6 linked regions of the Canis lupus familiaris genome follow. The protein of the gene in region 2 interacts with the protein of the main gene of each other region in a pairwise test. Links are inferred from orthologs where the notes say so. Each region holds a gene or a part of one and is shown on either strand. Other genes may lie near its edges. The genes, in order: ESR2, NRIP1, LDOC1, RORB, CEP70 and CIB1.

What was found.
Region 1: the proteins of NRIP1 (region 2) and ESR2 interact in a two-hybrid assay, tested with the Homo sapiens proteins (2 studies listed by BioGRID, with this or other methods). The link is inferred for Canis lupus familiaris from reciprocal best matches to the Homo sapiens genes NRIP1 and ESR2.
Region 3: the proteins of NRIP1 (region 2) and LDOC1 interact in binary tests that used the Homo sapiens proteins (3 or more experiments, as listed by UniProt). The two-hybrid records come from large-scale screens. The link is inferred for Canis lupus familiaris from reciprocal best matches to the Homo sapiens genes NRIP1 and LDOC1.
Region 4: the proteins of NRIP1 (region 2) and RORB interact in a two-hybrid assay, tested with the Homo sapiens proteins (2 studies listed by BioGRID). The link is inferred for Canis lupus familiaris from reciprocal best matches to the Homo sapiens genes NRIP1 and RORB.
Region 5: the proteins of NRIP1 (region 2) and CEP70 interact in binary tests that used the Homo sapiens proteins (3 or more experiments, as listed by UniProt). The link is inferred for Canis lupus familiaris from reciprocal best matches to the Homo sapiens genes NRIP1 and CEP70.
Region 6: the proteins of NRIP1 (region 2) and CIB1 interact in a two-hybrid assay, tested with the Homo sapiens proteins (2 studies listed by BioGRID and IntAct). The link is inferred for Canis lupus familiaris from reciprocal best matches to the Homo sapiens genes NRIP1 and CIB1.

The regions. Positions count from the first base shown.
Region 1 is NC_049229.1:38,986,763-38,991,693, forward strand, and holds the start of ESR2 (estrogen receptor beta), read right to left. Parts: upstream 3,383-4,931; 5' UTR 3,273-3,382; intron 1-3,272.
Region 2 is NC_049252.1:12,381,099-12,386,070, reverse strand, and holds the start of NRIP1 (nuclear receptor-interacting protein 1), read left to right. Parts: upstream 1-1,666; 5' UTR 1,667-1,793; exon of another isoform or gene 1,794-2,013; intron 2,014-2,902; exon of another isoform or gene 2,903-2,959; intron 2,960-3,640; exon of another isoform or gene 3,641-4,019; intron 4,020-4,972. UniProt on the Homo sapiens protein: Modulates transcriptional activation by steroid receptors such as NR3C1, NR3C2 and ESR1. Also modulates transcriptional repression by nuclear hormone receptors.
Region 3 is NC_049260.1:112,048,669-112,052,607, reverse strand, and holds LDOC1 (protein LDOC1), read right to left. Parts: upstream 2,356-3,939; 5' UTR 2,209-2,355; coding exon 1,765-2,208; 3' UTR 941-1,764; downstream 1-940. UniProt on the Homo sapiens protein: May have an important role in the development and/or progression of some cancers.
Region 4 is NC_049222.1:84,343,715-84,348,663, reverse strand, and holds the start of RORB (nuclear receptor ROR-beta), read left to right. Parts: upstream 1-1,623; 5' UTR 1,624-2,338; coding exon 2,339-2,345; intron 2,346-4,949. UniProt on the Homo sapiens protein: Nuclear receptor that binds DNA as a monomer to ROR response elements (RORE) containing a single core motif half-site 5'-AGGTCA-3' preceded by a short A-T-rich sequence.
Region 5 is NC_049244.1:35,241,642-35,245,231, reverse strand, and holds part of CEP70 (centrosomal protein of 70 kDa), read left to right. Parts: intron 1-589; coding exon 590-736; intron 737-913; coding exon 914-1,082; intron 1,083-1,260; coding exon 1,261-1,375; intron 1,376-2,265; coding exon of another isoform or gene 2,266-2,326; exon of another isoform or gene 2,327-2,383; coding exon of another isoform or gene 2,384-2,435; exon of another isoform or gene 2,436-2,438; coding exon 2,439-2,518; intron 2,519-3,590.
Region 6 is NC_049224.1:53,673,085-53,678,148, reverse strand, and holds the start of CIB1 (calcium and integrin-binding protein 1), read left to right. Parts: upstream 1-2,013; 5' UTR 2,014-2,209; coding exon 2,210-2,260; intron 2,261-2,389; coding exon 2,390-2,424; intron 2,425-2,844; exon of another isoform or gene 2,845-3,021; intron 3,022-3,482; coding exon 3,483-3,591; intron 3,592-4,697; coding exon 4,698-4,848; intron 4,849-4,996; coding exon 4,997-5,064. Other genes in the region: GDPGP1 (GDP-D-glucose phosphorylase 1), read right to left, coding at 1,177-1,237. UniProt on the Homo sapiens protein: Calcium-binding protein that plays a role in the regulation of numerous cellular processes, such as cell differentiation, cell division, cell proliferation, cell migration, thrombosis, angiogenesis, cardiac hypertrophy and apoptosis.

The sequences.
Region 1 (4,931 bases), on a different chromosome or scaffold from region 2:
AATGAGAAAACTCTAATTCCCCTTGTGGCCCCCTGGACCTTATGGACCTGAACAGGAAATAGAACTTGGAAGCTTGATGGTGAAGACGCCAGAGCCTCAGCTGCACGGTCTTCACATGCTAAGGCGGGGTATGGAGGGAGAGCCCATCAGTCTACTCTCTTCAGCAAGTCTCTGCCCCTTCCCAATTCCAATCATCAGAGAAAATGCACTGCTCTTAGGAAATGGAACCATTTTCAAATATCCATTTGGGACAGGGAGGGGACAGTTGTGAATGAAGAGGTCATGACCAACGCAGAAGTTAAAGTGAATGCACTCATCTCCTCTTCCGGTCCTGGGTTTCAGTTGAACACGAACATTTACCCACAAACATTGCAGTCTTGCTTTGAGGAAACATACCAAATCCAGTAAGCTGCCTTGACAGTGACCCTTACTCTCCTGCTCTCTGTTAAGTACACCCATACCCAGAATCCCCGCTGAAGGCCCTTAATTTATGAAGAGGTATAAAACCTCCAGCTAGGAATGCCAACCACTCAGTTTGCTGGTGCTTCCTCAGCATGCCACTCTGCTTATCCTAGTTACTGCCTCTGTAGTTCTCTGAAAGGTAAGCTGCATGTAGAAAATACGGCCTCCTCTTTTCATAGCACAAAGGAGAAAGGAAAAAGACATCATCTGACATATCTTTATTAGGAGTGCTTAACAATAACAGACTCCTAGCTATTCTCTAAATTGAATAATGCATTAAACAGTAAAGAATATGTCCTGCAAGAAAATCTAGATTTCAAAGCATGAGCACAGAAATGGAAAAACTCTGACATCAACACATAAATTGGGCACAGACCTCAACTCTTAATAAGGACAGTATTTTTTAACTTAAGTCACAATCACTCTATATTAGATTTTCAATGTCTCCAGATTGCCATTTTTAATTACTTTTCTGCTCCTCACTAATTAATCGTACGTAATTTCAGGTAACTTTTGTACTCTCAAATATAATAAAAGTATTTTTTAAATGCCTAGTTATATAAATACAATACATTCTATTAATATTACATAAATGACCAATGTTTCTTTTTAAAAACCCTGTATTCAGTTGGTGATAATCCAGATGCACACCAGAACAAAAGACTTAGCCCACAATGGAATCCGAATGTGCTAAGAATGAAATCTATTAGCCCAATGGGAACCTAACAGTCCCATTTGCAAAATAGCTTTTCTTTGCCTCAATTCATTCCAAAGTATATAAGGAGTAAAACAAAAATACCACAACCTGACTCATCCCAACAAAAAGGGGGGTTGAGGGAGACTGGGATTCTCTTTTGCAAAAAGCATAGGAAGATTAATTATTTCTGGGTAAAAACATACTGAAGAACAGAACAGTAAAATTAGGGAACAGTTCAGTGATTTTTCAGGGGGTGAGGATGGGTGGGGGGGCTGATTACAAACACACAAAGGGGACTTTTGGGAGTGATGGCACTCTTCTAGGTCTTGACTGTAGAAGTGATTATATAAATGTTGCAACTGTCAGAATTCATAAAGGGTAACCTAAAGAGGCTAGGTTTTACTGTATATAAATTATATTGCCAGGAACCTGCCTTTTTAAAATGGCTATAATGTCCATTTCCACTAAATTATGAAGTGTAACATTCAAGTATACAGTTCTCAATGTTCTAGATGTAATTAGGAAAAAACTTACCAGTAAATGATTCAAGTTCAGCCTTCAGTGTTTTATATAATCATTACATATTTACAAGTATTATATAAAGTGGCTCAAAACATAAACTAAAATTATCAGATGTATTTTGCACCATTACTTGAATATAGATATATAGAAAACTGTAGTGTTTTACTCTTAAAAATGAACATTTCAATATCTATTAGATGTTAATTATGTTTTGAAGGGTTAAATTTACTACTAAATTTTACCTTTTCCATATTATAAGTAAACTGAGGAATAGAAAAGGTCATTAGATTCATTTGAGTCCCTCAGAACCACTATGAAATGTATTCTGTGTTTTTAATAGATTTCAGAGATTTTCAAGTCTTAAGAGTTACAGGAGACTGGCTGTTTTTGAAATAAGAATGTTTCAGTAATTCAACTGAAAAAAAGAAGATTGAATGTAAAATGGATCCTAAGATTATGCTTTAACACCTTACATTCTCCCTCTTCTTGAGTATATGCAGAAATATAGATTTTTCTGCAGAAAAAATAAAAGGCAAAGAAGAAGTGTCATAGTCAGAGAACACATACTTTTTTACAATACTTAACGGCAGAAACCTTTCTTTCCACATGTTCACTTAAGTAACGAATACCTTTCTCCACATATAATAGCCACTGTGAGTTCAGAAACTTAAAAGTAAAAATTCCCAATGGCATGTCCATGAAAATACTAAAAGTCTAGTAAGGCAAAAATCTTACCTCCAAAGGGTTGTGTACTACACCAAAGCACAAAGCTGCTTTTTTAAAAAGCTAGTAAAATTGAGTCAACCTGGTTTTCCTAAATAGAAATTCACTCAAACCCAAATTTTTTTTACAAAAAAATATTATTCCCTTGACTTAATTTTAGGCTTCCGAAATGAATCAGGCACGAATGGTAACACAAAGGGACAAGAGAAGAGCAGCTGGCTTCCTCTTCAGCAAATAAAACAGACCAGATCTTAGATCTTGCTCAGTTCACCCAGGACAGAAGCAAATCTGTTTTTTATATCACTGAGCAGTGGCACTTAATACATTTAAAACACCGGTCACCTGCTTGATCCACGTACACCTTCCCAGGCCCACAAAACTCAAGCATGAAGTCCTCGTTCAACTTTCCCACGCTCATCATTTCACCCTTTTTCGGGAAATCCATAGGAGGAAAGAAGAAAGAAAGAAAGAAAGAAAGAGAGAAAGAGAGAAAGAGAGAAAGAAAGAGAGAAAGAAAGAGAGAAAGAAAGAAAGAAAGAAAGAACGAAAAGAAAGAAAAAAAAGAGGAAAAGAAAGAAAGAAAAATAAAAGAAAGAAAAGAAAGAAAGAAAAAATCTAGAGTTTTTTTCTTTCAAAAAGACACGTATCAATCCGGAGTTTACAGGCACAAACTAATTAAATTAACTTGCCAGCGTCTTGAGTGAAAATACTTAGAGCGTGAAATTTCTGTTTCCTATAGTTTTCAAGACAAGTGGTTTCGGGCGGAGGCGGGGGTCTGTCATTGTTCTCAATATTGCTGCTTTCGCATCCTTGGCTTTCACACAGAGGAGCAGACAGTCCCACCTCGAGCCGGCCGGGGGGCCCTTACCTTGCAGGTGCACGGCGCCCAGGGGTCTCTGTCACGCGGGCCCGGCCTCTCCCGGAGCAGCCGCCCGCCGCGGGCCCCGCGGTCCCGGGGCCGGAGAGCGCGCCCACCGCGCGGCGCGGAGCCGGAGCGGAGCCGGAGCGGAGCCGGAGCCCGAGCGCAGCTGGATCGCCGCCCGCCGCCCGCCGCCGCCGCGGTCCCCCTCCGCGCTCCCGCCGCCCCCTCCCACCCACCGCAAGTTTCCCCGGCGGTCCCCGCCCCCTCGGCGCTTCGGGCTGCCTGGCTGCAGGGGCGCGAACCCGGTTTCAACAGGTCCAGGAGCCGGAGACGCTGCAAAGATCACCAACGACTTAACGAGGAGCCTCTCCTCCCTTTTAAAGACCCGGGGGCGGCGGAGAAAGCCTCCAAGAGCCCACGTGACCACCGAGCCGGCTGCCCAGAAATCTCGGGAGGACGCGGACTCCCCGTGTCTCGCCATCCACACTCACCTGGGCGGAGGGAGAAGCCCCGGGGAGCGAGCACTCGAGGCGCCCTTCCCGCCGGCCTGGGTTTGGGAGGTCTGGGGCGGGGCCTGAGAATGCGCATTTCCAACCCGGTGCAGGACCAAGCCCAAACGGATGCTGCCCGGTGGGGGGGCCACACTTTGAAGATTCACGTCCCTAGACCGTGCCCCACGTGGGTCTGTCAGTGGATGCTTCGGGGTCATTTAAATACAGAAGTCTGACTTTTTTTTTTTTTTTTAAGAATTTATTTACTCATGAGAGACACACAGAGAGAGAGGCAGAGACACAGGCAGAGGGAGAAGCAGGCTCCGTGCAGGGAACCCAACGTGGGACTCGATCCCGGGACCCCAGGATCACGCCCTGAGCGGAAGGCAGAGGCTCAACCACGGAAGGTGCCCCCAGAAATCTGACTCTTAAGAATCCAGTGGTGAAACTAGAGAGGCTTTGGGTTTTCTCAGTCCGGGGCCCAAGGGCAGGTTCGTGCCCCTGGAGAGGCCAAGCCACGAGGCCGTGGAGGTAGATGGCGGGTGCGGGTTCTGAGCGGCCGGCTGGGGAGGCCTTTCGCCTTAGAGCAAGGAGCCCAGGAACCTCCTCACTCACCGCTGCCAAAAGAGGCAGCTGGGGGGACATCTGCCTCTGCCGCTGGCGGCGCCCCTCTTCCCTCCGCAGGGCCTCCGTGGAGCTCCCTGCAGGCCTGAGCCCCCTGGTGGCAGCTCCAGTCCCCCAGGTCTGCGGAGTCCCCAAGCTCTCCTCGCCCACCCTGCAGCACAGCCCACAGCCTGAGGACTTTCCCTAGTCGTTAAGCAGCACCTGGCGTTAGGGCAGCCACTGGTGGCGAAAATCCAATGGTAAGTTGCATATGTCCCATAAGCCATTCTCAGACCCCAGTGCCACATTTGTGTCTAATTAATCATCAAACTATCCATACACGTGGCATAAGGGACGTGGTTCTTGATCTGGTTGTGACTCCAGATCTCTGATAAAAGAAGACCAAGAGGGCATCTGGAGGGAAACTTACAATGCCTGCCTCAAGTGTTGGGGTTTAGCCAAAAATGGCCCAAGCCGACTCTAGTGTGCTCTGGGTTTAGGAGAGTGAGGTCCACAGGTAGTGAAAGCAGGCTCCAAATGTGGAGAGCCACCCACTTTATAAACAGTGGAT
Region 2 (4,972 bases):
AGATAGATTAGTAAGAGGTGAAAGGCTTTGTTAAGTCCGCTAACAAATGGCGGTAGATTTTCTAACACTTGCATTGGAAGGCAGGACCAGTACTCTGCTTGTTGGGTCAAGAGTGTAACCTCACTTATTAGAAGACTGTTTATCTACCAGCCTCGATGATCCAAAACCCAGTTAAGGAGGAACACTAATGCTTTTCAAAGCAACATTTGGGTAGTCTGAATAGCTGTCCCAAAGTCTATGCGTTGAGGTTCATGTGTCTTACTCCTTGGTGAGCACATCAGTTTCTTATAGGACCTATTTAGTTTTACTTTACTGAATTGGGACAAGGGAGGTTATCTAGATTCCCAGTCTGCCCCAGACCAGAAGCTGCCAATCAGAAGAGGAGAAAAATATTAGAGACAGGCCCGCTGTGGCAACAGAGAAAAAGGCCAACAGATTGTCAGCGAAGGGGAATAGAGGAACTACAAAAGGCAGAAAAAAAAAAAAAAATCACTAAGTCCTAACATCCTAGAGTCCTTCAGTGCATTAATGGTGTATGTACCTCCTGGGAGCATCTTTTAACACCTAGGAAGAAGCCTGATGTAGAATAGAAACTTGATGTATTCGTTGAATCCACTACAACCTACCACAGTAAACACTTTTAATAATATTAACCCTCAATTTTCAAGAAAAGCCAAATGAAGTCCAATAAACTGCTTAAGAAAAAAAATAACCCATTTTAGAAAATCTTTGTATAGCACTTAACAGTGTTGTTGTTGTTGTTGTTTTTAAAGAAGTTTGACTCCTTAAAGGGCCAGATGCCAGTTCTGCTGATCATCACTTAATTGGAACAGTTCGCTTTGCATCAACCCTAGATAATGATGCATGTAGAACAGCCGGCTTGACTAAGTTGCCTTGAGCAGATTTCAAACTATGGTACATACACACAATAAGTCATCCTATGAAGTGTAAACTATATAAGATGGCAACAGATTGCACAGTTGAATCACTAGGGTGATGTAAAATAATTGTTCTAAAATGCACCATCACCATTCAGCAAACCCTTCGTACCCTGTGCCCAGCACTGGGCTAGGTGGTGGATTTATCTTTAGCGTTGCTTTCACTCTTAAGATTTGAAGGTATGGCAGAACTTCCATTCATATTTTGAAAGGTTAAATGAAATTTTAAATGCACAGCACAGCCATTACATAACAGGCATAGAAAACTGTTTCATGACTAGGATAGTGGGTTTTTTGGTGTTTAAGTACTCTATTTCCAAATGTCATAGAATTCTTAAGGGTATGAAAACCTATATATAAGAATGGAGTGCCTCATTCACTCAAGTTTTGTATAATGTGCTTTACCGTAGGCATGCCCTCTCGGAGTCGAGGTTGGGGTTCAGCTGTACTTCAGCGTTTCTGTTTTGGTTTGGTTTGTTATGTTTGTTTTAATGAAGCAAAAAACAATTTCGGCGATGACATTCAGTTCCCCTGGTAATTTTTTTTTTTTTTTTTTTTTTTTTCACGGCGAGTTACTAACTGCTAGATGCTAGAGTCAGAAAGAAACCTGACGTCTGGGGAGGTGTGGAAGGGGTGTTAATAGTTCAGTTACGGTGTTCGGGGGCGCACTGGGGGTAAGGTTTTGAAGCAGGAAAGGCAAGGGGTGGGGGGAGGAATCACGGTTCGTAGGACGCTGTCTCCTCTGCACTTTCCCTCGCCGCCACCCCAGATCCCCCCAGTTCAGAGGCGGGTTCGGCGAGATTCGGCCGCAGGAACCCGGGAGGCTCCCCGGCGCGGCCGCCACGGCCTCGTGATGTAATTGTCACCTCGTACGGGAGACCGAGCCGAGAGCGGGGCCGCCGAGGAGGTGGCAGCCCTGCTCTTTTTGCCTGGGCTGCTAGAGGGTCGGATTCTGGCCGGGATGCTGGAGATTGGCTGGCGGGCTCGCCGGGGACTTCGCGGTGACAAAGCAGCCGGAGAGAAGCCCTGCTCCTGGGTCCTACGCCCGCCGAGGAGCCGGACGCGCGCTCCTCAGGTCTCCCTCCCAGCCTCGCCCTCGGAGCCGCTCCCCCTCGGGCCCTGGGGGCCTCCCGCGGGCTGCGGCGTGGGGTCCGCGCGGCCCGGAGTTGGCGCCCCCGCCCCCCCCCCCCCCCAGTGAAGCAGGACACACGGATGCGGGCGGGGAGGCTGCGGGCGGGCGGGAGCCGCGGAGCGCGTGTCGTGCGGCGCCAGGGGACGGTGCCGGCCGCCTGCCCCGGCCCCCCAGCGCGAGCCCCCGGCCCGGGTCGCGGCGGGAGCCCCCGGCCGGGGGGCAGCTGTCCGGGCAGGGGCGGCGGCACGGAGCCGGGGGCCGGGGGCCGGGGGCCGGGGGCCGGGGGGGCGGCGCGGGCAGCCCCCGGCCCTCCCTCCCCGACGCGGGCCTCCCGCCGCCTCCGCGCCCGCAGCCCCCGCCCGCCGGCCGCGGGGCGCCCAGGGCGGGGGCTCGGCTCGCGCGAGCTGCGGGGCCCCGAGAGGCTGCCCCTGCCCCGGCGGCCATGGGAGGGAGGGGGAGAAAAGGGTTAAGAAACTTGGCTGAAGAGCTGAATGGCGTGGAGCGGCGAGGGGAGGGACCGGGCCGCGGCGGACTCGGCGGCGGAGGGAGGAGCGCGGCTGCGGGCGGGCGGGCGGGCGGCGAGCGAGGCGCTCAAAGTCAGCCTCGCAGACATTGCAGCAGAGCCCCGAACTCGGGAGGCGGCGGCGGCGGCGGCGGCGGCGGCGGCGGAGGCGGCGGCGGCGGCCGAGGCGGCGGCGGCGGCGGAGGCGGAGGCGGAGGCGGAGGGACTACCGGCCCCGCGCACGCCCGCCCGTGGCCCGCGGCCGCCCCTGCGCTCGGCGGCGCTGCTCGTGCGAGCGGAGCTCCCGGGGCGCCGGAGGACGGGGCGGCGGGCGCGGAGCCGCGGGAGCCTGGCGGAGCTCGGGGCGCGGAGCCGCGGCGGCCTCCGGTGAGTGGCGGCCGCGGCCGGGGGCGCCGGGAGCTCCGCGAGCTGCCGCGGGCGCCGCCGGAAACGGCCCGGGAGCGCGGCGGCGGCGGCGGCGGCGGCGGCGGCGGCGGCGGCGGCGGCGGCGGCGGGCAGGGCCGCGGGGGCGGCGGGGCGGCGGGGCGGGCGGGGGCATCGCCGCTCCTGCCGGCGCCGGGTCTTCCCGGGACCTCGGGGGGCCCAGGCGGCCGGCCCGGCAAGTTGCGGAGTTGGCCCCGGGCTCACGGTGGGTTCCCCGGAGGCGGCGGTCGCGCCCCGCTCGGCTGCCCCCTCGGCCCGGAGCCCGGGCGCGTGTGGCCGCGCGGCTCCGGGTCCTGCAGCCCGGGGCGACCTGGGCGGCGCCGGGCGCTGCCCCCCGCCTCCCGCCTCCCGCCCGGTGCCTGCCGGCGCGGCGCGCTCGCTGGATTCCGGGCCAAGAAAAGTGATCAGGAGCAGGGACAGCTCTCCTGGCCCTGCCCGGGCCCCCGGGCCCGGCCGCTCGGCCCTTGCGCCCCCGCCCCCGCCGCAGCCCTCCCCCGAGGGCGAGGCTCTTTGCACCCGAGGCCTCACCCATCACTCCCCCTGAGCCCCAAGCGGGGCTCGCGTTTGGGGTGAGCCCTGCGGAGGTCCTGGGAGGCTTCCTTCCCCTCTTATCTGTGTCCTCCTTAGCTACTAGTGAATATTGTTTTATGCACGGTTTCCCTGGAAATATTCTACAAACCCTCCCGTCCTTTCCAAAGTAGTTTCCAAATTTCCACCAAGAGTTGCTGTGCAGTCTGAAGGAACAAAGGAATCAACTGTGTCTCACGGGCCAACAGGCTGGGAGTCTGACACATGTTGATCTCTGAAGCCTTACAGGCGGTCCCATCTCCCATCCTATTAGTGGTTTAATTGGCTGCTGAAGATAGTGAAAGAAGAACAGAGTGATGAGTACTTTTGCGTTACATTTCTTAATAGGCTATTTTATTTCGGACGAAAAGGAAGACGTCCCTAGCTACAGGGACTTTTCACTCAGCCGGTGGGGCTGAGTTGGAGTTTGTCTCCGGTAATGTAAATGATTAAATCGTGAGATCGTGCGGGGGGTGAAAAACTGTCTTTAGGGGAAGAAAGACCGTCTGTTGATGTCCAAAGTGAAAATGGTTGTTGGGATCTATACGATGAATGCTTTTGCATTTCTGGGGGTGGGGGATTTGTGAAGCAGAAGGCTTTGGTAATTCATTCTTTAAAGTTATGAATTCCATGGAACCTGCTTATTAGTGAATCACAGGTTTAGCAAGTGGGTGTATTTTCCCGACGGATTATTCAGTGTTTAGTAACCAGGTTGCTACCTTCGTGGAAGAGACACTGAAATAAGTGGACTTTCTAAACAAGTAATGTTTCAATTGCTTGGCGCCCAAGTGTGGGTTGCTGCCTAGAGTGTGTTGAAATGTTTTTCAACTTAGAAATAAGTTGTTTTGGTTTTGTCCGGCGGTTTGGTAATGTCAGTTGGGTTTAGTTGGTTCAGAAAGTAGTGGCTTCATCACCAGTAGTAACTTTTTCTCTGTCTGGAATTAGTTCCTAGAGACAAAGAAGAAGAATCAGTCAATGGAACAGCTACTCCTCTGCAGACTGAGGGATAGTTAACTCTAGTCCGCTTCATTCAGTCTGGTGGGGGAAATACCTCTTTCCGTACTTACCTCTGAAAGTGCCCTAAGACTGTCAGTTCAATACATATTAAAAAAAAAAAAAAAGAGAGAGAGAGAGAACTGCTCATTGTTTGCTTTACTCAAGTGAGATCTCTACAGTGCTTTTGAAGCAATTGAAAACCATGTTTAATGTCTGTGGGAAAACTGGACTTAGATCCATTCCTTGCATTTATCTCCCAAACTCTGTAGAACTTGGATTTTACTAATTTAAGCACCCTGAAAGATTGTAAGTTTGCAATCAAGTGTCTGTAAAAGAGGCTAAATACTCTCCTGACTCTTTCAGTTTTAAGAGCAAAACATCATGATAAAAAAT
Region 3 (3,939 bases), on a different chromosome or scaffold from region 2:
ATGCAATAGGGAAGTTTATTACCTAAACTGGAGATGTTAAGGTAGGGCTGGCTCCAGCTATGGTACAATGAGTACATTTGGGCAGATAGAGATGAGAACTCTGAATCCCTCACATCTTCCTAAATGTTCCCGTGGCAGAGGCAGCTTCCACAAAACCCACTACCGAATTTATCTGATTTCACATTTCAAAGAGTTCTTCTCAGCACCCCCACCCCACTCCCTGAATGCCTCGGAGCCCTCCAGGCCCACAAAGAGGTCTCAGCATAGCCCAGATAGCAGTACAAGGTCTAGTTCAGGAGACAGTCAGTCTCCAATTTCCATAGGCAGGAATCTGGGACATATGTATGGGTGGGGATTCTAAGACAGTGCACCCGGGGTGCTGAAATGTTAAGATCACGCTCTATTTAGTATGGGTTCACTCACACAGGATCCAGGGCTTAATGTCAGTTCAAGCACCTGAAAGGGGCATTAAAACAATATGCTACGTAGTTAACTGAAGTCTGAACTCAACAGCGCCCCGCGGGCAACAAGACTTAAGGGACAGAATTTCTCTGGCAGTGTTGAGTAAGGAATCCAAAGGCTCAAGAAGATAATAACATTGTATGTGTCCAGATTTATGCCTGTTGTCCTAGTCTAATTATTAACAGTGTCCCCCTTTAACTCTCAAGTGTCCCAGTTTGGGATGGTGTGCCACCTGCTCAGCCACCCCTTACCCATGCCACCCTGGAGGCCCCAGAGGACACTCACTCCTTTTGCCAGGGCTTTAAGAAATGCCTTGGTGAGGAGAGTACCAGAATTCCTAGAAAACCCTGTGGTAGTTGTCCTCTGTAGCCTAGAGATGACAGTGGCGAATACTGGGACTGAACTAAGTTCCCTGACCTCAGGGGGCATAACGGGAGTCAGAGTGAGATTGGAAGAGGCCAATGATAGCACTTAACCATTAAAAGACACTCCTTTCTTTATTTTTGTAGTGCTTGATATTTATTGAAAAGAACGTAAATGCTTTTTTCCAGGTGGTATTGAGGAGCTGGGCTGAGTGCCTGTTTTTGTTTGTTTGTTTTGTTTTTAGTATTTCTGTCCAAATGCACACATCTGTTGGGACTGCTGCAGTTTGGAAAGAAAAAGGACAGCTGTGCAAAACTGGTGCATAGGAGAAAAGAAATGTCAACAATTTGGCTGCCAGGCGCACTAGGCCCCTGCAGCAATCTGGTGGGGAAGGGGAGGACCCTGGGAGTAGGCAGGGAACTAACCAGGTTGAAAGACTGGCCCCTTCAGGGGCTGGTGAGCTGTCCAAATCAATGTCCAAGGACATAGAGCCAACTCAGGCATCTTCTAGGTTGGTCCTTATTTTCAAAGGCTGTGTTCTGTCGCTGGAATGTGGTGGACGGTGGTGAAGTGGCAGCGTAGGTCTCTGGGCAGATGGAGGCCTTGCAGTCGGCAGGGCAGGGCTGTGCGTGGTCTGACCAGTTTGTAACAGGGGCCTGCCCTATAGCTGGGGCTCAGGACACAGTCCAAATCAGCAGGGGAGGGCCCCGGGGCTGGCCAGAGTGGGTGGCGGCGCGCTTCCGAGCGAGGCCCCAGCAGCAGGTAACCGGAACAAAGGCAAGCACTACAGGGGGATGACGGAGAGAACCGGAGAGCTGGGGGTAGGGAAGGGGATGGGAGGGCGGAAGGGCGCTGGGCGGCTCCGGGCCGGGCAGGAGAGGCGGGGGAGAGGATGGCGGCGTGCAGGGCCCTCCCCCCTGGGCCCGAGGGTCTCCCGGCCTAGTAATCATCTTCCTCGTCGTCGTCGTCGTCGTCTTCTTCGTCGTCATCCCAGCCAAAACACTGTTTCATCTCATCGAGGAAGGCCCGGTAATCACCTAGGATGGGGCTATCCATCTCAATGTAGGGCACCACCCACTCCTCGGCTTCCCCGGTGAGCAGGCTGATTAGGAATGCCACCTTCATGGCGTCGTTGCAGAATCGGTTCTCGTTGACGAGCATGTAAGACGCCGTCTGCACGATAAACTCGGGGAGCCGGGAGCTCTCGCCGCTAAACGTTTCGGGGAAGGGCACCGGGCAGCTCGGCGGACGTACCTGGCGCAGCAGGGTGGCCCTCTCGCACACCAGCAGCCGCAGCTGTTCCATGAGCTGGCTGTTCTCGATGCTCAGGGCGCGGTGCCGCATCAGGAGCGCGTGCAGCAGCAGCACCAGCTCGTCCACCATGGCGAACGGCTTGCAAGCGCAGGGCTGGGCTCGGCTCAGGTGCGCACGGAGGCCTCGCAGGAAGTGCGTGTCCGCCGAGGCGCACGGTGGCCAGGGGCGGAGGGCGGTGCGCGCTGGGGTCCGGCTGCTGCGCAAGCTCCGCCCGCACAGCCACTCGGGCGGCCGGCGCGCCGGCGCGGCCCGGGTCGGGGGGCGTGGTCAGGGCGCTGCCGGCGCCGCGAGGGGGCGGGGCCGGGGCGGGGCCGGCGGGCCGGGGGCGGGGCCGGGGGCTCGGTCCAAGGGAGGGGGCGGGCGGGAGCCGGGGGCCCGCGGCCGGAGTTCCCGAGGCCGGCGCCCGGGAAGGGCAGGCTCCCGCGCTAGAGCCCCGGATGTGCGCCCCGGGACCGCCAAAAGCCAGCTCAGAGAGGGCCAACCTGCTCAACTTTAAAGGATCGGTCACGCTCGGACTCAGCCGACTCACACAGTGCGGGGCTCCTTGGTGGGTCTGTGGCTACGAGATTCCACCTGCGCGTTTCGGTGACACACGTCCTCGCTTATTGAAATCCCACTCACCCAGGGAACTGCTGGCGCTGCGGCCTGCCCCGCGGGAGCCACGCATCCTTTCGGAGTTGCGAAAGACCCTTCCTTGGGGCTCCTCTTTGAAAACAAAACAATATCTAAATGGGGTTTTTTTTTCTTTAGTTGGGAAACAATATTGTATACCTACATCCTTTTTTAAAAAGTATTTTTTTCTAAACAGTCAAGTATAAAAACTTCTGCAAAAGCACCACTGGAGAACGATTTGCAGGCTCTCGCCTCTCTTTGACCCTCTGTTTCATGTCCTGTTAATGCCCCTTGGCCCTCGGTCGCATGTTGTTTGTTGCTTAACAATGAACACTTGTGTTTTTAAATGCTTTGGGCTTTCTACTTTGAACTGGATTATTTAAATCGTTGAGTCCAGGACCCTAGAGCTGAAATTTTGTTGGCTCTGCTTTTAAAATATATCCCCAGATCAGTCACTTCTCCCACTATACCACCCTGATCCAGCCTTCCTTATCCCACCCAGACTGCTGCAACTGCTTAGCTTTCACTCTTCTCTTCCTGCAGTACACACAGGAGTCCCTCCTGATCCACGGTTTTGCTCTCCGGTGCTTTCAGTCACCCGTGCCAAGGGTGGTTTGATCCGGAATCAGCTGACCCTCCTTCTGACCTGGCACCAGAAGATCAACCAGTAGCCTGGCGTCGGATCACTACGCATTCTATCATCTCACGTCATCACAAGAAGGGTGAGTACAGGACAGTAAGATACTTTAAGAGATATTTTGAAACTTGCATAATAGTTATGTGTTACAAACATTCTATTTTATCACATGAGCTAGTAATGTCTTAGTGTGCCTAACTTATTTAAATTGTATCAAGTACGTATAGGAAAAAATATAGTCTATATATAATTCAAGACTATCCTCAGTTTCAGGCATCTGCTGGGGATCTTGGAACAGATTCCCCTGTGGATATGGCCAGGGAACGAGTGACTCATGTCTCAGGGCAGTGGCTCATATTTCTCAGTGCCCACTCTCTCCAGAGAGTAGGCACAGGAATCCTTTTGAACAAAAGTGAGAACTTTTTACTCCCCTGCTCAAAATCATCCCAACAGTTTTCCACTCTCACTTGAAATAAAAATAAAATAAAAATAAAAATAAAAGCAAAGTCTTGGCTGTGGCCTGCAAAGCCCTGCCTCATCTCCTGTGCCTA
Region 4 (4,949 bases), on a different chromosome or scaffold from region 2:
ACTTAGTGCAGCTTTAATGTGGTTATAATGAATATATTTTACTTGATTAAAAATGATAAAACCAGGGAGCCTTAAATATTATCTTAAAAGATTAACTACTGTGTCAATTACAAATCTAGGGGAAAGGTATTTATAAGAGAATAACTATTCTGAACAGTGACTTCCTTCTGTTCATTTCATTTAATTAAAGACTCAATCAACTTTCACTCTTAATACTAAAATTTTCCTAAATTACACATTGGCTTGCAAATGGAAGGGCATATAGCAGGGCTAAGTCAATTTAGCACTAGGGAGGATTCAGCAAGTAATCCATTTTCTTATTTAAACAGGGAGGGACAAACTACTTGGCCGTGTAGAGTGCAGTAATTAACTAAATAATCGCCAATTTTGCATTGCATTTTTTTTGTCACATGACATAATATGAATAGAGCAAAAAATCAAATTATTTGGGCAGGTGAATGATGATGAGGCCTGCTCTGCCAACAGGTACGCTAATGAGTAGAAGCCTCAATGGCTTAAGACTGAGTAAGAGAAGCAAATTTCTCCCCTCTCTGCTTTGTAGGGGACCAATTAACCTACTATGGTGGGGATGGGGGCGGGGAGTAGATGTGATCACTATGTGTTTACTGTGTCCACTGAGAGAGGAAAACTTGCAAAGGAACAGGTTTGACATATGCACTGGATTTTTATCAAAATACAAATAAATGGTCATAGATGACAGTTTTCACCTAAGGAATACAAAATACTCACGTTTAATTGTCAGTCTCCAATAAATAGAGAAGTGTCTTCTCAAAGCCAGGGGCTTAAGAGTCCTCCCTCCTAGAGCCCTACACGTTTGTCAAATAAACAGCACTTACACAGTCATCCCTCTGGCCTCAGCCATCTCCCTGGCACCACTGAGGTAGCCACAGTTGGGGCTCTTACCCTTGAATAGAGGTAGCGCAATGCCAGGAGATTTTGCAAATGCTAATAAAAATTTCCTTGACGAAAGAAAGTATTACAACATTTTTAAAAAATAATTAAAAAAAAAAAAATAAAAACCACCCTGAAGAAATCTTAAGTGTGTCGTGCTTCCTGTTTTTAGGATTCGGGGCGGGAAGCATCTGAAAGATGGTTTTCAAGGAAGCGGATGGCCCTTGCACGGGACTGCAGTTTGGTCACGCTCAACGTGATGGAAATTGATTGGCGTTTTGCTGCCACGAAAAGCCCCGCCAGAAATTCGGAGTTTACCGAAAGAGGACTCTGCAGAGCGCTGCCAGGCACTCAGAACTCACTCTCGGGGCAGGCGGCGGCTGCGAGAGACGGACGCAACGGGGGACCCGGGCAGCCGCACGGCCGTCGCCTCCGAAAGGACTGGGCAGCGCCTTCCCCCGCCTCCGGGGTCGGACGTGAGTGTCCCCTGCGGGTCGGCGCCCCTCGCGGGCCGGGCCCGCTCCTTTGCCCAGCTCGGACGGTCTCCCCGGCCAGTGTCAGCTCGGGCCGGCCGCGGGCCGCCGCGTCCCGCACCCCCGCCCGCCTCCGGGAAGCGCGGCCCCTCCCCCGCGGCCCCGGCCCCGGCCCCTCCGAGCGCTGCCGGGCGCTGATAGGCGGCGGCGCTGACAGCGGGCGGGGCCTGGGAGTCCCGGCCAAACCCGCCCTCGCGTATAAGCCCCTTCTCGGCTCTCTCTCTCTCCATCTCTCTCCTCTCTTTCTCTCTCGCTCCCTTCCTCCCTGTAACTGAACAGTGAAAATTCACTGGATCCGCTAACAGGCACAGATGTCATGTGAAAACGCACATGCTCTGCCATCCACACCGCCTTTCTTCCTTTTCTGTTTCCTTTCCCCCCCCCCCACCCCTTGCTCCTTCTCCTTCTTCTTTGTAACTAACAAAACCACCACCAACTCCTCCTCCTGCTGCTGCTTCTGCCCTTCCTCCTCCTCCTCAGTCCAAGTGATCACAAAAGAAATCTTCTAAGCCGGAGGCGGTGGCATTTTTAAAAAGCAAGCACATTAGAGAGAAAGAAAAAAGAAAAACAAAAGCAAAACAAAACCCGGGCACCAGCCAGACAGCACCTTTTTTTTTTTTTTTTTTTCCCACCCTTCCTGAAAACAAACAACCAAACAACCATCAAAACAGTCATCACCACCATCATCAAAACTGTTAACATAGCGGCGGCGGCGGCGGCGGCGGCAAACGTCACCCTCCGGCCACGGCGTCCGCCTAAAGGGATGGTTTTCTCGGCGGAGCAGCTCTTTGCCGACCACCTTCTTCACTCGTGCTGAGCAGGATTTTTGGGCTCTCCGGGGTTCGGGCTGGGAGCAGCTTCATGACTACGCGGAGCGGGAGAGCGGCCACACCATGCGAGGTAAGCGAGCCCGCGGACAGCGAGAGGGTCCCCGGTCCGGCCACCGCCGGCCCCTGCGGAGGGGGGAGGGGAGCGCACCCCGCACACGGGAAGGGGCTCTCGGGGCGCGGGGCTGGGGTCCGCGCTCGCAGGTGGGCTGCCGATGGCCTCGGGCGTGCAAAGTTGTGGGAAGGTGTGGATGCCTCTCGGGAGTTCTGGAGGGACGCAGGAGGGCGCTTTTTGGAGAGAGGAGCGGCGCTAGTTGCTTCCTCCCGGGCCAGGAGTTTCGCCGAACCGTTTGTGCTCGTCGCTCTCGGCTGCGGCCGCGGACGCCGGGTGGAGCGGGAGCCGGCGCGGGCTGCGGCCCCACGAGGCGGCTGGGAGCCCCCGGCGCGCGGCGGTGGCCTGCGGGGCTGGGGCGCGCGGGGCGCACGGGCAGGCGGCGGGGCGCGGGGGCGCGGGGGCGCGGGGGCGCGGGCGCACGGACTCACGGACTCGGGCTGGCCCGGCCCTGCCTCGCGGCAGCGGTGGGCAGGGGGGCGCGGGCGCGGGCGCGGGACCCGACGCGGACGCTGCATCGGCCCCCGCGCCCGTCCCTTGCGCCGGCGCTCCGCCCTGGCCAGGTCCGCGTGCTGGAGCCCGCGCGGTCCACGGACGAGCGCCGCCCCGAAAAAGTTGCGCAGAGAAAGTTCCAGAGGACTGAGAAGCCGGCGCCCCCCGCGGCCGAGGATGCTCTTTTTGTCAAGGGGCCGCTGGGTGAGCCCCGGAGCCGAGACCCCCAGCGGCGGCGGCGGCGGCGGCGGGTCCCTGGGGCGAGCTGGCAGCCGCGGGGCGGCGCGCCGGGGGCGGGCGAGAGAGGCTTCCCCTGGGTCCCCTCGGCGCTGCCCAGTGGACGGCCCGGCCGGCTGGACGGAGCCACTACGTCGGTCTCCTCCCCGGCAGTGCCGGGACCTTCGGGTCTCCAGCGCGCTGTGCTCGGACCCGCTCCCCCCCACTTTCTGCTTGGCCACAACTTTACTCTTTTCTTGAAGAGCGGGCCGAGAGCCAGCTTGCCGTGGGGACGTGTGCAAGTCTCCGGGCACCTGCCTCGCCCCGTTTTTTCTTCCTGGCCACTCTACGGCTCTTTGTGGGGCTCTCCGCTACCCGTCGCACGCCCTCCGGGGCCTGGCAACAAACAGAAAGTTGGAGAGGCCAGCCCCGGGCCTCCCTACGTCCCTGACCCGGCGACAGGTGGACTAGGCAGGTAGAGCTAGGGAAGGTCGGACTGCAAACGCTCCTCGTCTTCTAGCCGGCAGTGCACCTCTCCCACTCGCCCCCGCCCCCCGCCCCCCGCCCCCTCCCCCGCCAGCACCTACCTCTCTAGGAGGGCCCTGGGGGGCGGGGCGCAGCGGGCTTGCTCTCGTGCTCCGCACAAAGTGAACCCCGGAGCTTGGAGCTTGGACGCCGGGGCAGGGACTGGCTGGGCGCTGGGACGTGGCAGGAAAGGGAAGGAGGGGGAAGAACAGAGAGGTTGTCCAGGGAAGTGAGTGGGAGGGAGCTAGCCATCCAGGTGGGGTGATGGACCCCGCGAACTCGGAGTGGGAGCTCCGGGGCTTGCGAGCCGGTTCCGGTTGAGTGTCCCAGTTGGGGGTTTGGTCACATGCGGCATCGTCCAGATTCTCTCAGAAAATTGTACTCGGGCAACTGGCGAGTATAGAACCTGTAAGGGAAAGACGCCCCCACCCCAGTCTTTGTTTTGCTGTTTCTGCCCCGTCTCACCACCATCCCCCTCCTTTCGGCTTCCCCTGCTCGGGTCTGGGGCCGCCGGGTCGCCCTTCCCTTACTTCTCCCCTTCCAACATTCCTCCCACGGCAGGACCACGTTCTGATGGTCGGAAACCACGCGTCGTGTCGGCTCCCACCCGGCACTAGGACCTGCGGCGCAAAAGCCGCTCGCTCTCCCCCTTAAATTAAAGAAAGCGGCGGTGCGGGGCAGGAGTGGGTTGTAGCTTGATCGCGCTGCTCCTGAAGCAGCACTATGCCAGACAGTCCGGATCGCCTCGGGCTCCAGCAGCCTGAAGGCTTGAAAGCCAGGCGCTCGCCTAGTGCTCACCTTCAGAAACCAGTCGACAGCCCACACTCACTCGCTTTCCAGAAGGCTGTCACCCTCGCCAAGCTGCCCAGAAGAGTTTACAAGTCCTAACTTAAAGCGGCTCTCCGGCGAGGGGGAAGGGGGTGGGGGGTGCTCGCCCTGGAAGAAAAGGAAGCTTACAAGGTGGCAGAGTCTTTTTCTCCACCTCCCAGGCTCTCCTTTCCTGACCCCTGTGCACTTCCTACAGGCTATGCCCTCCCGCAGCATCAGGGGCTGTTCCTTAAGGATAAGTTGACAAAAGGTCTGGGCTACTCAGACGTCTTGTGGGAGTCAGGGGTTGAACTTGAGTGTGAACTTGAGAAGTGAGAGCGGAAACGAATCAGCTTTCTCTTGTGCCTGGGCTACTAATCAGCCTTACATCAGGGGGAGGGGACGGTTTTGAACTCTGCTTTACAGTGTATCCACTCCATTTCCCCCATACTCCCCCCAACACACACACACACACACACACACACACACACTCCCCATCCCAAGGTGATCCAGTGACTGGGATTT
Region 5 (3,590 bases), on a different chromosome or scaffold from region 2:
TGTGAAATGCCCAGAATAGGCAAATCCATAGAAATAGAAATTATGTTAATAGTGACCCAGGGTCTGGGGATAGAAAAGAATGGGGAATGGCAGTGAATGAGTATGGGATTTCTTTTGGGGGTGATAAAAATGCTCTGAAATTAAAGAATAGTGATAGTTGCACACCTCTGTAAAATGATTAAAATTACTGAATTGTACCCTTGTAAGGAATGAATTTTATATGAATTATATCTCCATAATTCTGTTATAAAATTGTTTAAGGCTAAAATATGAAGGATGAATTTGTTTTTTATATATCAGTAGTTTAAAAATAACTACTTAAATAACATATACTACTAATAAATAACATCATTACTTTAAACATCCAGATTTGAGATAACCAATATTATCATTGTTTTTTCTAAGCCCTATATTTACCTGGAGAACACACATTTAACAGACTTTTTCTAAACTAGTAATGGTATTTTTTTAAAAAGTACTGATGATGGTTTATATATATTAAACTTGCCTGGACAATTATATTATATTGACATTATTATGGAGTCTTTTTAAAAATCAATAATACCATGTTGTTTCTTTTGTTATAAAGGATTTGTATAAGTCCTTGAAAATACTATCTACAGAACTGGTGCCTTGGCATAACTTAAAAAGGCATGATGAAAATGAAGGTATTAGAGTTGAAGATCTGTTGTTTATAGTAGATACCATGTTAGAAGAAGTTGAAAATAAGGAAAAGGTAATGTTTAATACTTATGTAAATGTTCATATTTTAATGTAATCTTATCTTAAAAATTGATAGTGATACAGATAATGATATTTGTTCTATTAAGATTCTATTTCTCTTTTTAAAGTTTTCATTAAAGTTTTAGGATTATTTTAACATGTTAACTGTTTATCCCTCTCTCTTGGACAGGACAGCAATATGCCAAACTTAAAAACTTTGCAAGCTATTGTGTCTCACTTCCAAAAGTTATTTGATGTGCCTTCTTTAAATGGAGTCTATCCTCGAATGAATGAAGTTTATACTAGGCTTGGAGAAATGAACAATGCTGTGAGAAACCTCCAAGAACTCTTAGAATTAGGTGATAACTCTTTATTCTTTCTGGCCCCCATTTAAGAATTATTCCTAATAAATCAACAAAAAGTAGGTTAAAAAATAGAAAGTAAAAATTTGAGGATAACAGAAGCATAGGGTATTTGATTTAATTTTATGATGTTGAAAATTCTCTTTTAAGATATCCTTTTATTTCTCTCTTTCAGATAGTTCATCCTCATTGTGTGTGTTAGTGAACACAGTTGGAAAATTGTGTAGGGTGATTAATGAGAACATGAATGAACAGGTTATGCAGGTATTGGGACCTGAAGACCTCCAAAGGTATTTATTTTAAAAAGTTTGCCAAAAAAAAAAAAAAAAAAGTTTGCAAAGTATCATCCAGAATGCTTGGAGTGGTGAAATTAAAGACTTTTCAAAGCTTCATAAGTTATTTACCTTTCCTGTTTGGGATAGCTTTTTAAATAACTTGACAATATAAAATAATCTCACACCTTATCAATGGAGAGAATGCCATGCATTTTCAAGATAAAAATAGATTGTAGGGCCTATAAGTTTACATAGGGTGGGTCAGAACTCAAGCATTATTGCTATAAGCCTGTTCCCAAGGAAAATTATACGTGGAGAAATTCACACCTTGTTAGCAACTTCATGTTAGTGTTCAGACTATATAAACAAGTCCTATTTTTAGTACACTACCATAGGTCACTTAACAATTGCTAATAGTATGTTTATTATTTGATTAGAAGATAAATGTTAAAGATTTTTTTTAAAGCTTGTCAACTCTAAAAACATTCTTTTGAAATATGGAAACATTATAGATATACTTAAAGCAACTCTTCCACCTCCACCCTCCACCCTCAATTTTATACGCAACATAGGGGAAGAGGAGCACATAACATATACCACCTATTCATATATTCTGCAAGTTTTCTACAAAGATCCTTACCTAATCTGACACATGAATTTTCTGATACTTGATGCTTTTAAAAGGAACATATATTTGTCTTTTTTCCCTTCCCACATTTAGATGACTGATACTTATTCTTAATGTTTCATAGAATATGGGATATAAAAAACAATTTTTAGAAAATGTTAAAAAGCAAGGTCTCTTAAAAATTCTCAAGTTAAGTGGAAAGCTTTCACATTAGGAGTGTTACATTAATTTGGAACACATATTTAGACTGATAATAAGTTTTTTTTTTTTTTTTTAGAAAAGTGGTATTAGATGAACAAAGACTTCAAAAAGGAAGGATTGCAGTAAATGATTATTAAATTTATATTGAAATTAGCAGGAAATTTTCCATTTTGAAAATGTTTTATTTCAATCAGATACAAGAACCTTAAGTTGGAAATTCAGTGTAAACTGTGCATTTTTTTTTAAAAGCATTATCAACAAATTGGAAGAACATGAGGAATTTTTCCCAGCATTTCAGGCATTTACTAATGATCTACTTGAAATCTTAGGTAAGATTATTGTTGATAGTGGTTAAATTTCAAGTTTTAAGAAGTCAGGGGGTTTGAGGGGTGAGTGTTCCATAGTCACTTTATTAGTACTTTTACCTATAGTGTTTTGGTAGAAGTGTCTAAAAACCACTAACAGTTCTGGAAACACACTCCTGACTTAAAATTAGAGTTGGTTGAGGTTGGTGTGCAAAACAGAGAAGCACATATCCTTAAAATGAGAAATGACATTACTCTGGCTAGGCCCAGTTTAACCCTGACTCTGTCATGCCTAATGAGAAATCTTCATAGAATTTATGATCTTGAAGGTATTTAGTTTTTTAGGGTTTTTTTTCCTCCCTTTTTTTTTTTTTTTTTTTAACAGCTTACCTACTGTGGGTTTTTTTTAAATATACAAATTAAATTTCTTTCTCGGGTGATAAGTAATGTAAAGTGAATATCTGTAGAAAGAAAGATAAATTCATAAATCTGTATAAGGGAAGAGATTTATTTGTATTCTTGGCCAGATTGAGGGTTTTGTTATTAGTATTATCTCTTAAAGGGAAAAAAAAATCTAATTTCCTTCGGAATCAGGCAAAATAGAGACCCAAGGCTCTTATTTTAAGTATGATTATATATGGCTATAAAAGTAACTTATCTTACTTTAAAAACACTTTTTAAGGTGATTTATTCACCGATGAATTTTTTTTTTCTATATAGTTCATTTGAAAGAATTTGTTTTAAAAGAATGCCTCTTTGACATAGGAAATTAAATTAGAAAAGGAGGGGAGCCTGGCTGGCTCAGTGGGGTATAGCATGAAACTCATGATCTTGGGGTTGTGAGTTCAAGCTCCACATTGGGAAGAGAGCTTACATTTAAAAATAATAATAAAATTAGAAGAGGAGGTAAGATTTAGTAGAAGATAAGGGACTAAGTAAATTAAAATTTGGTAAGAAGATAGATGAATAAATGAAATGTAAAGAAGCATCTGACTGGAATATCTAGCCTGGTAAACATAAAGGATGTTTTGTGGCAAGTTTTGTGTATGCTATGGAAGCAAGGGAGACAGTGACTGAATGTACCTTTAGTCATGCT
Region 6 (5,064 bases), on a different chromosome or scaffold from region 2:
TAACTTAGAGTGAGAGACATGCCAAATAGCACAAAATATTGGTCCCTCCTCTATACAAAAAATCTACCAGGAACCAAAATTATAATCAGAACAGTTGTTCAATGAAAGGTTCAACACTAAGTGAGGTGGCTAAGAGATCTTTGTCACAACTGCTCACCAATGCAACTTCCAATTTCCATATCTTCACTATCTCACCGCAAAGTCCAAGGACCGGCATTGGCTGGCCAGTGCTCCTCCCCCTCGGTCTAGTACAGGAGACACTACGACAACTTCCTGTTCTTTGCCTATCCTTTTACTAACCAAAAAAAAATTTTTTTATGATCTTATTTATTTATTTGAGAGAGAGAGTAAGAGAGAGAGAGAGAACATGAGAAGGGAGAGAGAGAGAAGCACACTCCCTGGGACTCCATCCCAGGATCCAAGAACCCCGGGATTATGACCAGAGCCAACTCAGGCACCCCTAACCGAACTCTTCTTATACAGAAAGAGCCCTAGTGTCAAGATGATTGGGTTGGGATGGGACCACACTCACTTTGGTTGTGGTGTTCCCACTGTTTTGCAGCCTCCACTTCTTGGAATGGAATATTTCCACAGTGGTGGGACTCACATGTTGAAAGAGTGAGTCTTACTAAAGTCACTCTCAGATGAACAGCTTATTGATTGCTGGGGTTAGCTAGTCATTCATCAAACATTTACTCAATTGCCACCCATCAGATACTGTAGATCACGATTCTTGCAACTCTTCATGGAGCTTACAGTCTAGTGAGGGGAAGAGCTACAGACATTAATCAACACCTAAGCAAACATAAGTTCAAACATGCTACAGTGCTGTTGTCAAAGACAAGGAAGCCCTGGATACTCTGGAAGCCTAAGATTCCTAATCTAGTCTAGGGAACTAGGAAGGGCTTCCCTGAGGCTAACAAGTAAGAGCAACGGAGAGCCCATTGTGACCGGACCCCGGAAAGCCAAGAGAAGAGGGCAGAGAGAGACTGAAGTCAGATTTTTGAGGGCCGGTATTTAGGTTTTTAACCATTTATTAGTTTTAAACTGAAATCATCATGATCAGATCTAGACTTTACAAAGATCAGCAAGTAGAATGAATCAGGAGAATCAAGAACTAACCCCTACTGTTTTGTCAATTATACATCAATAAAGGTGAAAACAAAATAATCTCACCTCCACCTCCTCTCTCAGCTTGGAATCCTCGCCTTCTAGAACAGTGTGTAGGGTTCTTCATGCACGCATGAAATTTGTTGAGAGCCTACTCCGTGCCAAGCACCGTCCTAGGATTGACAGGGGACAAGCTCAAACAGCTCAACCTCAGTCCCCGCCGCCTCTGGACGCGGGGTCGGCTCAAGGGAGGCCTACAGACACGCGGAGCGGCGAGAAGAGCCTTGGACGGGGGTGACGGCTCTCCACATGCCCGAGCCTAGACAAGTCACCGAATCCTCTCCCCACTCGGACCTGCTGTCCACATTTGTAAGACGGGAACCTACCTTGTAGGGTGAGCATCGAAGATCACTATGCACGGCTCCTGCGGTCTGCAGACCCTCAGCGTACAGCCTCAGCGGGCCTGGGGGCTCCTGCAGGTGGCATGCAGGCTGCAACACGTGCGGCGACGGTGCAATGGAAGCGTCTGGAAGAAAAAGCCCTCGCTGCGCGCGAGTGCGCGGCAGGCCGCCTTCGGCCACGTAACAAGTCTCGCGCTTTCCCGGATTTCCAGGCTCCGGGTACTTGCCTGGGGCTCGGACCGCGCCCCAGGGAGCCGCCGCCACCTACAGCAGCGGAGAAGCACGCTGCGCGACCCCGGCCGCAAGCTCCGAGCCGGGCCATGGCTAGGCGGCGGGGACGCGCACGCATGCGCAGCCCGCCCGCACCCCCGCCCGCACCCCCGCCCGCCCGCGGCGAGGCTCGCCCCGCCCTGCTCGGAGGCGGGGCCGCGCGGCCTGGGCTCCGCCCCGGAGCGTCCGGCCCCGCTCCGGGCCCCGCCTCCAGCTGGCCGCGGAGAGCCCGGAGCGGGGAGCCGGGAGCGGGTCGGCGGAACCGGACCGGCAGCGCCCGGGCACTTTAAGGAGGGGGCGGGCCCGGGGGCAGCGGCCCCAGGACCGGTTGCCGCGGGGACAGGGCGGTGACGCGGCCCGAGGGCGGAAGTGGAAAAAGTTGCCGGCGCCCCGAGGCAAGTTGGCGGAGCCGTGCGCGCGGCGCGACGATGGGGGGCTCGGGCAGCCGCCTGTCCAAGGAGCTGTTGGCCGAGTACCAGGTGCGCGGGACGCCGGTCCCCGGGGAGTTTGCGCGCGGCCCGGCGCTGGCGAGCGGGGTCCCGGGGCGGGCAGCAGGGCGGGTGCGGCCCCCGGGAGGCCCGCTGAACCCCTCCCGTTTTGCCTTCCAGGAGTTGACGTTCCTGACCAAGCAGGAGATCCTCCTGTAAGTGCAGCGTCCAGCCTCCGCAGCCGGGTCCTCTGGAGGCGGCTGCGGGGGGCTCTGTCCAGGCGGGCAAACGGAGGGCCCCAGAGGGAGGGGCAGGGGCGCGCCCGAGGTCCGCAGCCGAGCCGGAGCCGGAGCCGGCGCCGGGCCCCGGGCCCCGAGAGCTGGGCCGTGCCCTCCACCTCGCCGCCCCCGGCCGGCTGGGCACCCCCGGGCCTGCGCCTCGCTGGCTTCCGCGTGACCGAACTTCCTGCCCGCGCCCGGCAGGGGCTGCTGTGGCTCTCGGTGCGCCGCGCCCCGCGGGAGCCTGGCTCCGGGCAACTTGGCCCGAACTGACGCGGCAGCCGTTAACGTTTACCGAGCGCGCGAAGCGGTCGCCTACACGACCTAATTCAGTCCTCAGGAGGGAGGTCCCGCGGCAGGGAAGCAGGTTTCAGAGAAGTTTGGTAACTTGCCTGAGACTACATTCCAAGGAGGAGGATTTGAACTCGGGCTGGAACCCCCTTCCTAGCCGCCTGCCAGCTTTTTGCGGTCAAGGCACTTGAGCGAGGAGATTCCTGGGCTTCCCTTGGCAAAAATAATCCCAGTGGGAAGGAGGTGAGGGCTGAGGAAGAGCTCCTGTAGGGTAGTTGCTAAAAAAAAAAAAAAAAAAAAAAAACGGTGGGAGGCTTTGAGGAGCTGGAGATCCCTGCAGTGAGATGGGAGACATTTCGATTTTACTCTTTTTCCTGTTTTTCAGGGGCAACTTCTGGCTCCTTCTGCAGCCTCTCCATCCCCCAGGGAGCTCTAGAACCAATGCCCAGTACAGTGCCTGGCACACAATAGGCCCTTAGTAAATGCCCATTGCCCGAATGGACTCTCAGTGCAGTTTTGTGTCATATGTGACAATACACATGGGGGTTATATATATCGTCTCCTTTTGGCTTATGCTTGATGACGGAGAGGTTCTATGTATGTGCCTTAGCTCCCCACTTGGTGTATAACGGATAACAAGACAAGGAGCAGGGGATGTGATGCACACTGGAAGGTTTGCCAACAGGTTCCCTTCCTTCTGCCAGAGCCCACAGGCGGTTTTGTGAGCTGCTTCCCCAAGAGCACCGGAGTGTGGAGGAGTCACTGCAGATCCGAGTGTCCTTGGAGCAGATTCTCAGCCTTCCAGAGCTCAAGGTAACAGTTCGCCACCCTCCCTCCGCTACACGCCTTGAGATCATGTGGTCACTGGTCCCCATTCTGGTCTTCTCTCCACTTAGCTCTAATTTCCTGAGGACTAGGGCTTTCCCAGACTCACCCGGTCAAATTAACTGGAATAGTGTTTTTCAAGCTGGGATTCTTGGATATGTTCTTGGGGAGTCAAAGAAGTTTTGTCTTTATTTTTTTTATTTATTATTTTTAAAAAATATTTTATTTATTTATTCATGAGACACACACAAGGAGAGGCAGAGATACAGGCAGAAGGAGAAGCAGGCTCCATGCAGGGAGCCCGACATGGGACTCGATCCCAGGTCTCCAGGATCACGCCCCGGGCTGAAGGCGGCGCTAAACGGCTGAGCCACCGGGGCTCCCCCGAAGTTTTGTCTTTAAGAGGAGTTGAGCTACCTTATTAAAGTTTGAGAAACCTTATTCCAGAGGCCGATTGCCTCTCCATAGGGTTGCTGTGAAAAAATTCTTTTAAAGATTTGTATTTATTTATTTATTTGAGAGAGAGAGAGAGAGAGAGAGAGAGAGAGGAAGGAAGGGAGGGGTTGGGGTAGGGGAGCAGGGAGAGGGAGAGGGACAAGCAGATCCCGCACTGAGCACGGAGTCCAATGAGGGGCTCGATCTCATGACCCTGAGATTACAACCTGAGCCCATGACCTGAGCTGAAATCAAGAGTCCAATACTGAACTGACTGAGCCACCCAGGGCGCTACTACTAGGAAAATGTTTATGCAAAGGGCCTGGCCTAGTACCTATAACACAGTAAGTGTTCCAGTAAATGTGTTTTAAAGTAACCAGCCCATCCTGTTCTCTTTGCTTAGGATGCTTGTCTTCCTTCTCTGCTCCTGGGCCTGCCTTTGGGTTAAACTGACTCACAGGAAACCATCCCTGTCCCTTCCCCAAGTCATTTGGTCCTCCTGCCCTCCATGCTGGCCCTAAAACATTGATCCTCGTCTCCCGTGAGCCTGAGCTCATGGAGCGGGTACTGTGACCTGCTCCCCCAGGTTCCTGGTAGGATTTGAGGAGTGTGTGACCTGGGCTGCATCTGTGGCATTCACACCAGGCTCTCTTGCCTAGGCCAACCCCTTCAAGGAGCGAATCTGCAGGGTCTTCTCCACATCCCCCGCCAGGGACAGCCTGAGTTTCGAGGACTTCCTGGACCTCCTCAGTGTGTTCAGTGACACAGCAACTCCAGACATCAAGTCCCACTATGCCTTCCGCATCTTCGGTGAGAGCCAGGAGCAGCCTGGCAGGACACGGCCTGGTCCCTACGTGGTCTGGGCGGTGGCATACTGCTGGGGGGCCGGGGGGCCTTCTGTGGAGCCTTGGAGCTCACCCTGACCACATTCATTCTGGCTTCCCATGTCCATCTCTAGACTTTGATGATGATGGAACCTTGAACCGAGAAGACCTGAGTCAGCTCGTGAACTGCCTCACAGGACAG